Linked DNA regions of Bombyx mori. The main gene of each other region encodes a partner of the protein of the gene in region 2 in a complex. Links are inferred from orthologs where the notes say so. Each region holds a gene or a part of one and is shown on either strand. Other genes may lie near its edges.

Region 1 (3,957 bases), on a different chromosome or scaffold from region 2:
AACACTGGATTTATGAAACTTATTTCATAAATTCGATCTACTAAGTCGTATTATTTAAACGTTATTCCCGCCAATTTTCCTTTTTTTTAAGGGATTTTATGAACTGGTAACTAAGACTTTTAGGTCATTTTTCGTATTTTCGTATTTTAATTTATATTCATAGTTTTATGAAAAATGATAATATGGAGTGAAATGAAATGAAAATAATTAATTTGAGACATTAATCAACTGGGATGAAATATAATCTCAGTAAAATGGTGGTCACTTACCGCCAAAAAATCTGCATCACTATGTCAGTATGTCAAAGCATAGAACACTTACTATTTGAGTTTCAAAGTCAAACAATTAAGCTCTATAAACAAGAGTAAATATCAGTGGTCTCGAACCTACCGATTTTTCGGTATATCTACCGATATGGGCACTGATCTATTGAAATACCGAAATAAAATGATTTTTCTACGATTTCAGAGTATACATGGAAATTCTCCCGATTTTTCTACCGATTTGACACTTTTAGACATTATTGATCCAAAACATGTTAAAATTGGCAAGACTACTTCGATACTACTTAAAAGTAGGCTCTTTCCCAATATTGTTCAGAGCAATGATTTCCAGGAAATTGATAGAGTAGCGCATTTTAAGAAATTGTGAATAAATCAAAACATTTCCTAATGATGTAGAACTATTTTGGGAAGAAGTAACTTTATTAAAACGTGGCGATGAAACTCAAATGTTTCCTTTGTTGTCTAATTTCATCCTTAATATTTTATCACTTTCCTATTCATCCGCTAACGTTGAACGCATATTTATTCTTTTGAAAACAAAACAGCGAAATAGGCTGTCTACTGAGTCAATCACTGGTCTATTACATGCAAAACGACTCTATAATACAGCTAATTGCTATGATTTTGAAATTAATTCAACGATGACTGCAGCTATGGCCAAACAATATTGGTATAAAAAATATTTATTCTTAAATATGATTGTTATAAATTAGTATGTAAGTTTTTTTTTCAATAAATAAACGCATTTGATTGAATATTGTATATTTTTTGACTAATACCGATTTTGGGTACAAAATAGTACAAATGTACCGATTTTAGCTGGCAAGTCTACTAATCTCGCTCTATGACGTTTGAGATCAGTGATAAAGATAAGGCGACTTTTTGGCGGGAACGCGAGGAGTGAAGTTGTGTGTTTTGTTTTATTTTGTCTATTTAGTGTTTCTTGGGTTTATATGTGTAATAATGGTGGTTTATTAACTGTTTAATATCTGTGAAAGTGCAAAAATGTGGGAAAATGAAACAAAGCCGCTGGACGTCACTTCTCGGGATCCTCCAAAAGTCCAACGAAAAAATCTCAGTAAATGACCACCATTTTACTGAGATTATAGTTCATCCCATATCATCTCATCTCATTTCATTTGATTTCATCCCAGTTAATTAATGTCTCAAATTAATTATCTTCATTTCATTTCATCATTTTTCATAAAAATAAGAGTATAAATTAAAATAAGACATGACTTAAAAGTCTTAGTTACCAGGTCATAATATAAAATACCTAAAAAAATATGATAAATAAAAACATGATAAAGGTAGGTAATATTCCTAAATTTTTAACCAAAATGAATTAAATTAAATATATGTATATTATTAAATGATTATAAATTATTAAAACCATAAAAATAATAATGGAACCTTATGAAATCGAGTTTATTGGTGAGAATCGGATAATCAGTATAACACCAAACTTTACCCATGATAAAATATACTTGATATGCGGTGAATTTGGTCCGTTTCGTGCTGGTTTACCTGTGAACGTACCACTCTGGCTGGCTATCATGCTAAAGCAGAAACAAAAGTGCCATGTTATCCCTCCTGACTGGATGGACGTGGAAGTTTTGGAGAATATTAAAGAAGAGGAAAAGCGTTCCAGGTTTGTCAATATATTTAATAAATTTGGTTTTTTACAAAACACACCAGTTTCAAAACTTTGATCTTTCTAGGTGGTCCAGTTTATTCCAGATACAATTTAATATTTTGTTTATACAACTTCCATGTCTTAATTTTAAATCAAAAAGTATATTTTATTATTATGGTTTATGTTATAAATACCTTCTAGAGCCATCCATTCTAACACTGATACTAAACAATAACTATTAGTGGTCTACCTGTTAATAAATCTCAAATTGTAACATGATTAAAAAACTTGAAGTTCATTGGTCAATAAATATATCTTTGCCAGTACTCATGAAAGGGTGTGTAAATATAAAATCTATCATTAAATGGCGTTTGAGAATTATCAGCAAGATAAAGCAAGTAGTTGTAGTAGTCAAAGTTTTCACATTAAATCTTCCTAAAATTATCAAACTACCAGATTCTTCACAAAGATGCCAAATGAACACTATATGGTGGAAGCCAAACTGATACTTGGTTCAGCTGCCGAAGATGTTCCCAATGCACCAGAAATAAAGACTATTATCAAAGACATCTGGGATATAAGAATGTCTAAGTTACGAACATCAATGGATGCATTGATGAAAACTGGAGGTTTGTAATGATTCCTTTAAAATACTTTACTTTTAAGTACTTTTAACTTACATTTTAAAGATTTTTGAATTGAGAGGATTTTATATTTTATTTTATTGTAACTGATGATATTGTAAACCTGCATGGATCAGAAAGCCTATAATGATGATATGTGGTCTTCGGTAACAACTTAACACCAGAATGGTATGCTTAAATTAAGATAAGAAAAAAATATAGAATGTGACTTACTCAGTCATAAGTTAAATTCAGGACATTTATAATTGACATTTTCAGGTGGCTATGGCAGATTAGATCATTTAACAATGATGGAAATAAACTCAGTGAAACCTCTTCTACCTGCTGCTATGGACAACCTCTTAAGGATGCAAATGGTAAGAACATGTGTGACAAATTGTAATATACTCTCCTTTAGACACATCCTTCTGTATTTTCATCTCCACTTTGTCCTTTTTACGAATATCTCTGAATGTATGTACCATCCTTCGGACCATCTTATACGTGACACATTTATGCATTCTACTCTGAAGGATCCTTGGATTTCTGTTCTAGACTTCACTCTCGTGTCCTAGTAGAAGGGCAAATCACATTGTTGTGATGATGATGTGTGTTACCAAAACTAAAACTGTGAGTGTGCAGTGAGTTCAGCTAACCTAAGGTTTAGTAACTACGGTAATTTGGAGTTTGTAAACCTGGTCTTATCAATATCATTGTTAAACTTAAATTCGGTATTGAAGATTTTTTTATTTGTTTTATAGAGTAAATTACAGTAAGCTGTCTTTAGACTTTCAACTGTAGTTTTGACAAAAATAATTTGATAGGCAGTACACGCACAATGTCCATATCAGTGAATCTACACTGGATCTAGTAGATCTGAAGACACTCTTCTTCAGTCTTCTTGTTGTCATTTGGTTGTCCGTTAGATGCTTAGCAAGGTTATTTGGGTGGGCTTTAAAATTGAAGATCTGAGTGCAATTATTCTTATATGTACTTGCAGTACAGTTTTGTAACAAATAATCAACTTTTTGTTTTACAGAAAACGAAAAAGACAGCACCATCGCTCAATTTAAATAGTTCAACCTTCAGTCAATCAGGGAGCTCTCAAAATACATAGTTTTAAGTGTAGTTAAGTGTAGTTTAAGTTTAGTAAGTTCTTAATACTTTTTAATGATTTTGTAACAAAGTGGTTGGTAACAATCAAAAAGTGGTAATAACATTAAAAACACTTATTGTAACCTTGTTTTTATTCTTTTTAGATATTTAAAATTGCATGCATTTAGAGTTGATCTTATTATATTAAACATTTGATAACCTGTTGTTTTAGACCGAAACCTCAAATCTCAACAGTTTTTATTTTTCACTGCCTAATCTTCGGTAGCCTACGGGGCTGTTCAACTACGCGCGGACCATT
Region 2 (4,264 bases):
GGCAAAATAATTATAAAAATATCTCCTCCTATTTAATTAAAAATAACTTCTATTTTCACTTACATCTCCCATGACTAAATTTGACTCATAAATTAACTAGATAACATTCGTTATACTTTCATTTTGCGTAATTAAATAAGAGATATTTGCATACAACTCAAAACAATCGATCGATATTTAATCAACAAATTCGTAACCATAGCAACCCCGCCGTAATTTAAATTTTACAAACAGTTGAGGTTTTAAAATAGTAGCGATGAAATGTTAAAAATGATCACCTCCTTTAATTTTAAAGAGAAATAAACAAATAAAATAAAAATATTAGGTATAATGATTTTATTAAATTGAAATTGAGCCTTCGAACTCAAGCTCAATTAATTAAATTGTTCTGGTGTTTTGTTACTCAAGTGCAGTGCCAACATCCACATTGTGATGTCAACATGCTCCAGTAAGGTCTCAATTGCATAGTGGCTGTCCCAATCCAAACGGGAAGGCATGAATCACTTTTTTTTCTACCTACGGTGGTATCGTTAGAGGGTTATGCCAGCGTCACTGAACTAGTAGGTGAGCTCACGGGGGTCTAACCTGAGGACGTTACTAACAATAACCCAACAAGAGCAGTACTTCGCAGAATCAACCAACGGAGCGGAAACGCAACCGACTGAAAAGGAAAACCGGCGAGAAACTCAGTGAGCTGTGTCTGTGGGTTAATTTACTTACCGAACCCTTCGTCGCACGCGACGGTTTCGATGACCGGTGCTCGAGGTACCTAAAAGCACCTACTCAGGAGGATCCAAAATGACGTGCTTAAGGCGACGTCGACTGTTTCGGTCCGCAAGATCGGGTATGTAGTTACCAGCGGCCACGGCAAGAGGGTTTTCGTGTCGAGCCGCTTTCTCAAAATGACGCACCGATTCTGACTGTATACACCTACTGATGGAGTCTAACTCCATATCGTCGTGAAGATCCACGTTCCTCATGAACCACGGTGCTCCAACGGCTATCCTGCAAAAACAGAATTGGATGATTTGAAGGGGCTTCAAAGTAATTCGAGCCGCGTGAGCGAACACTACACTTGCACAGTTCATGACTGGACGTATGCAAATTTTGTATAATGTCATCTTATTACGAAAGGACAATTTACTTTGCTTGCAAATCATCGGATAGACCTGCACAAATGCGGCAAAGAAACAAAGGCACTGGATGTAGCTTCTCGGGATCTTCCAAAAAGTCTCAATAAATAACCACTATTTTACTGAGACAATATTTCATCCCATATCATCTCATCTCATTTCATTTTATTTCGTTTTCATTTCATTTCATGCTATGTTTCTTAATAATCAACTTCACTTCATTTCATAATATCATTTAACTTAAAAAAAAGTTATCATTTATATTAACATAAGACTTGACCTAAAGGTCTTAGTAACCAGGTCATAAAATCCCTTAAAAAAAAAAGTTTCGCGCCAATTAAATGTGTTTGGGAAAGGTAAACTTGTCAGTGACGATAAAATTAGTTTTAAATTTAAATTAAATAACATATAACGGGTTAGTTAGGTTGTGATTTAGTAACATGGAAGGTTTTGATGATCCTGGTGTATTTTTCTCTGATAATTTTGGTGTAGAAGAAAACGAATCTCAAGATCATGTTAATTTACAAGCAGTCAAAAAGAAATTCAAAGAATTCATGAGACAGTTTCATACTGGAAACTTCAATTACAAATACAGGTAAAAAATCGTTTCTTAACCAGTACCTAGCATAGGATTTCAAACTAAACTTCATTCCTTGATACAAATTGTAGAGATGCCCTCAAACGCAACTATAACCTAAACCAATATTGGGTCGAGATAAATATTGAAGATTTGTCTAGTTTTGATGACGTTCTTGCTGAAAAATTATACAAGAAACCAACTGAACATTTGCCTATACTAGAAGAAGCTGCTAAAGAGGTATTAAGACAAGTTGTTGATACATAATATTATGGTATAACTAATTATTTATTACTCCTTCAATAAAACTGTGGATAGTTTGACAATGCACACCCACTTAAAGAGACTTGTAACATTAAATTGTTTTGGACCAAATTATTATATAGTAAAACTTGAATACAGTGTATATGAGCTGTTAAAATCCTTACATAAAAAATTTAAAGGTATTACTAAACAAAACTATCTTTAAACTAGATAAGGAGTAAATAGGCTGAGTTGACTAGTTTTTTTTGAAGTCTAAACATCATACACGAGAATGCCACCATCCACCTGGAAATAAAGCTATAGTCATTATCATACTATTTTCAATCACACTTAAGATAAGTGTAACAACATTCTAAATTTAACCTACATAAGAAAGAGACTGTTTTGAAGTCGTTGTGACCTAAAAGATAAGACGTCCGGTGCATTCGTGTTGAAGCGATGCACCGGTGTTCGAATCCTGCAGGCGGGTACCAATTTTTCTAATGAAATACGTACTCAACAAATGTTCACGATTGACTTCCACAGTGAAGGAATAACATCGTGTAATAAAAGTGAAACCCGCAAAATTATAATTTGCCTAATTACTGGTGGTAGGACCTGTTGTGAGTCCGCGCGGGTAGGTACCACCGCCCTGCCTATTTCTGCCGTGAAGCAGTAATGCGTTTCGGTTTGAAGGGTGGGGCAGCCGTTGTAACTATACTGAGACCTAACAACTTATATCTCAAGGTGTGTGGCGCATTTACGTTGTAGATGTCTATGGGCTCCAGTAACCACTTAACATCAGGTGGGCTGTGAGCTCGTCCATCCATCTAAGCAATAAAAAAAAAAAAAAACTTATTTTTTTTATAATCTGTTAACCTCTGCTTGTTTTGATATGCAGCACCTAAAGGTTGCAATCAACTAATGTACATTTTCCAGTTAGCTGATGAGTTGACTGCACCGAGACCAGAAGGTGAGGAGAAAGTTGAGGATATTCAAGTGCTTTTGTCATCAGATGCACATTCATCAAATTTGAGGGAGCTTAAAGTAAGTTAATATTTATCTAGTTATAAAATTTAAAAATAGTAAACAGATTCAAATTTAATTAACATTTCGTTATGAGCTTGTCTATACATTTAGGTTAGTAAAATAAATGTTGATTATATGACAAAATACAAAATGAAAAATTTTGTTTAGTCAGAAACTGTATCAAGACTAGTGAAGATTCCTGGTATTGTAATATCAGCATCCGGTATTAAAGCAAAAGCCACAAAAATATCCATACAATGTCGCTCATGCCGCAATGTTATTCCCAATCTTCCTGTGAAGCCAGGTCTGGAAGGATATGTCATGCCAAGAAAATGCAATACGTAAGTTAATTTCATTAAAGTATCCCAATTTTAAAAATAGTATGTTCTTTGGGACCACTAAATTTGAACCTAAAGTAAATATTCTCTATTACTGAGTCATACCAGTTTTGATTTTAAGCCACTAATCTTATGTTTTATTATATGAAGAAAAAGGAGAATCTATGGAAGAAAGTTTCTCAATTACTATACCCTGGTTATATCTTGAGACTGCTCTAGATAATATATTCCCTAAACTCATTCGTGATTTATCTTCATTTTTGTTCTTTCATTTACACATTTCATGTTTCAATTTTCAGAGAACAATCTGGACGTCCTAAATGTCCTTTAGATCCATATTTCATTATTCCCGACAAATGCAAATGTATCGATTATCAGGTAATTGTAGTATTAAGATGTCATTATGTAAATTACATTACAATACTTCTATTTATAACTGTCAGAAATGTTTTGAAATGCATCATATTAAAAGTATTAATGGTTTAGTTTAGTGTGCACATGTGAATATCTTAGAAATAATAAGAGATATAAAAACAGTGATTTTCAAATTAATTTACAGGTGTTGAAACTTCAAGAAGCACCAGAAAGTATTCCACAAGGAGAAATGCCAAGGCATTTGACTGTATACTGTGATCGTACATTATGCGAACGTGTTGCACCAGGCGCACGAGTCACGGTTTTGGGGATTTATTCTATAAAAAAGATAGCAAAAGTAGGGGTTAGTACTGAATATGACTATCATTTAAGAATGACAGTAATAATAATTATGCCAATGATTTTATCAAAACTTCGAGCCTGCGAATTATTGTAGTTCGTGATTTGACATTTACAGCGCGAGGGTCGCGACAAAGGCTCCGTAGGCGTCCGGTCATCGTACCTACGAGCCGTAGGGCTCACCGCAGAGGAAGGTGTCACTAGCGGCCTGAGACCCTTTACTGCAGAAG

What was found. Proteins that work in one complex are often made in the same cells at the same time.
Region 1: DNA replication licensing factor Mcm5 (region 2) and probable DNA replication complex GINS protein PSF2 share a complex: the UniProt entries of both Homo sapiens proteins name them as parts of the CMG helicase complex. The link is inferred for Bombyx mori from reciprocal best matches to the Homo sapiens genes MCM5 and GINS2.

The regions. Positions count from the first base shown.
Region 1 is NC_085116.1:1,524,802-1,528,758, forward strand, and holds probable DNA replication complex GINS protein PSF2, read left to right. Parts: upstream 1-1,157; 5' UTR 1,158-1,690; coding exon 1,691-1,935; intron 1,936-2,376; coding exon 2,377-2,549; intron 2,550-2,822; coding exon 2,823-3,118; 3' UTR 3,119-3,582; coding exon of another isoform or gene 3,583-3,660; 3' UTR 3,661-3,781; downstream 3,782-3,957. UniProt on the Homo sapiens protein: Required for correct functioning of the GINS complex, a complex that plays an essential role in the initiation of DNA replication, and progression of DNA replication forks.
Region 2 is NC_085131.1:8,499,306-8,503,569, reverse strand, and holds the start of DNA replication licensing factor Mcm5, read left to right. Parts: upstream 1-1,464; 5' UTR 1,465-1,573; coding exon 1,574-1,728; intron 1,729-1,802; coding exon 1,803-1,950; intron 1,951-1,963; exon of another isoform or gene 1,964-2,259; intron 2,260-2,892; coding exon 2,893-3,000; intron 3,001-3,150; coding exon 3,151-3,323; intron 3,324-3,619; coding exon 3,620-3,698; intron 3,699-3,879; coding exon 3,880-4,038; intron 4,039-4,152; coding exon 4,153-4,264. Other genes in the region: dynein beta chain, ciliary, read right to left, coding at 64-72. UniProt on the Homo sapiens protein: Acts as a component of the MCM2-7 complex (MCM complex) which is the replicative helicase essential for 'once per cell cycle' DNA replication initiation and elongation in eukaryotic cells.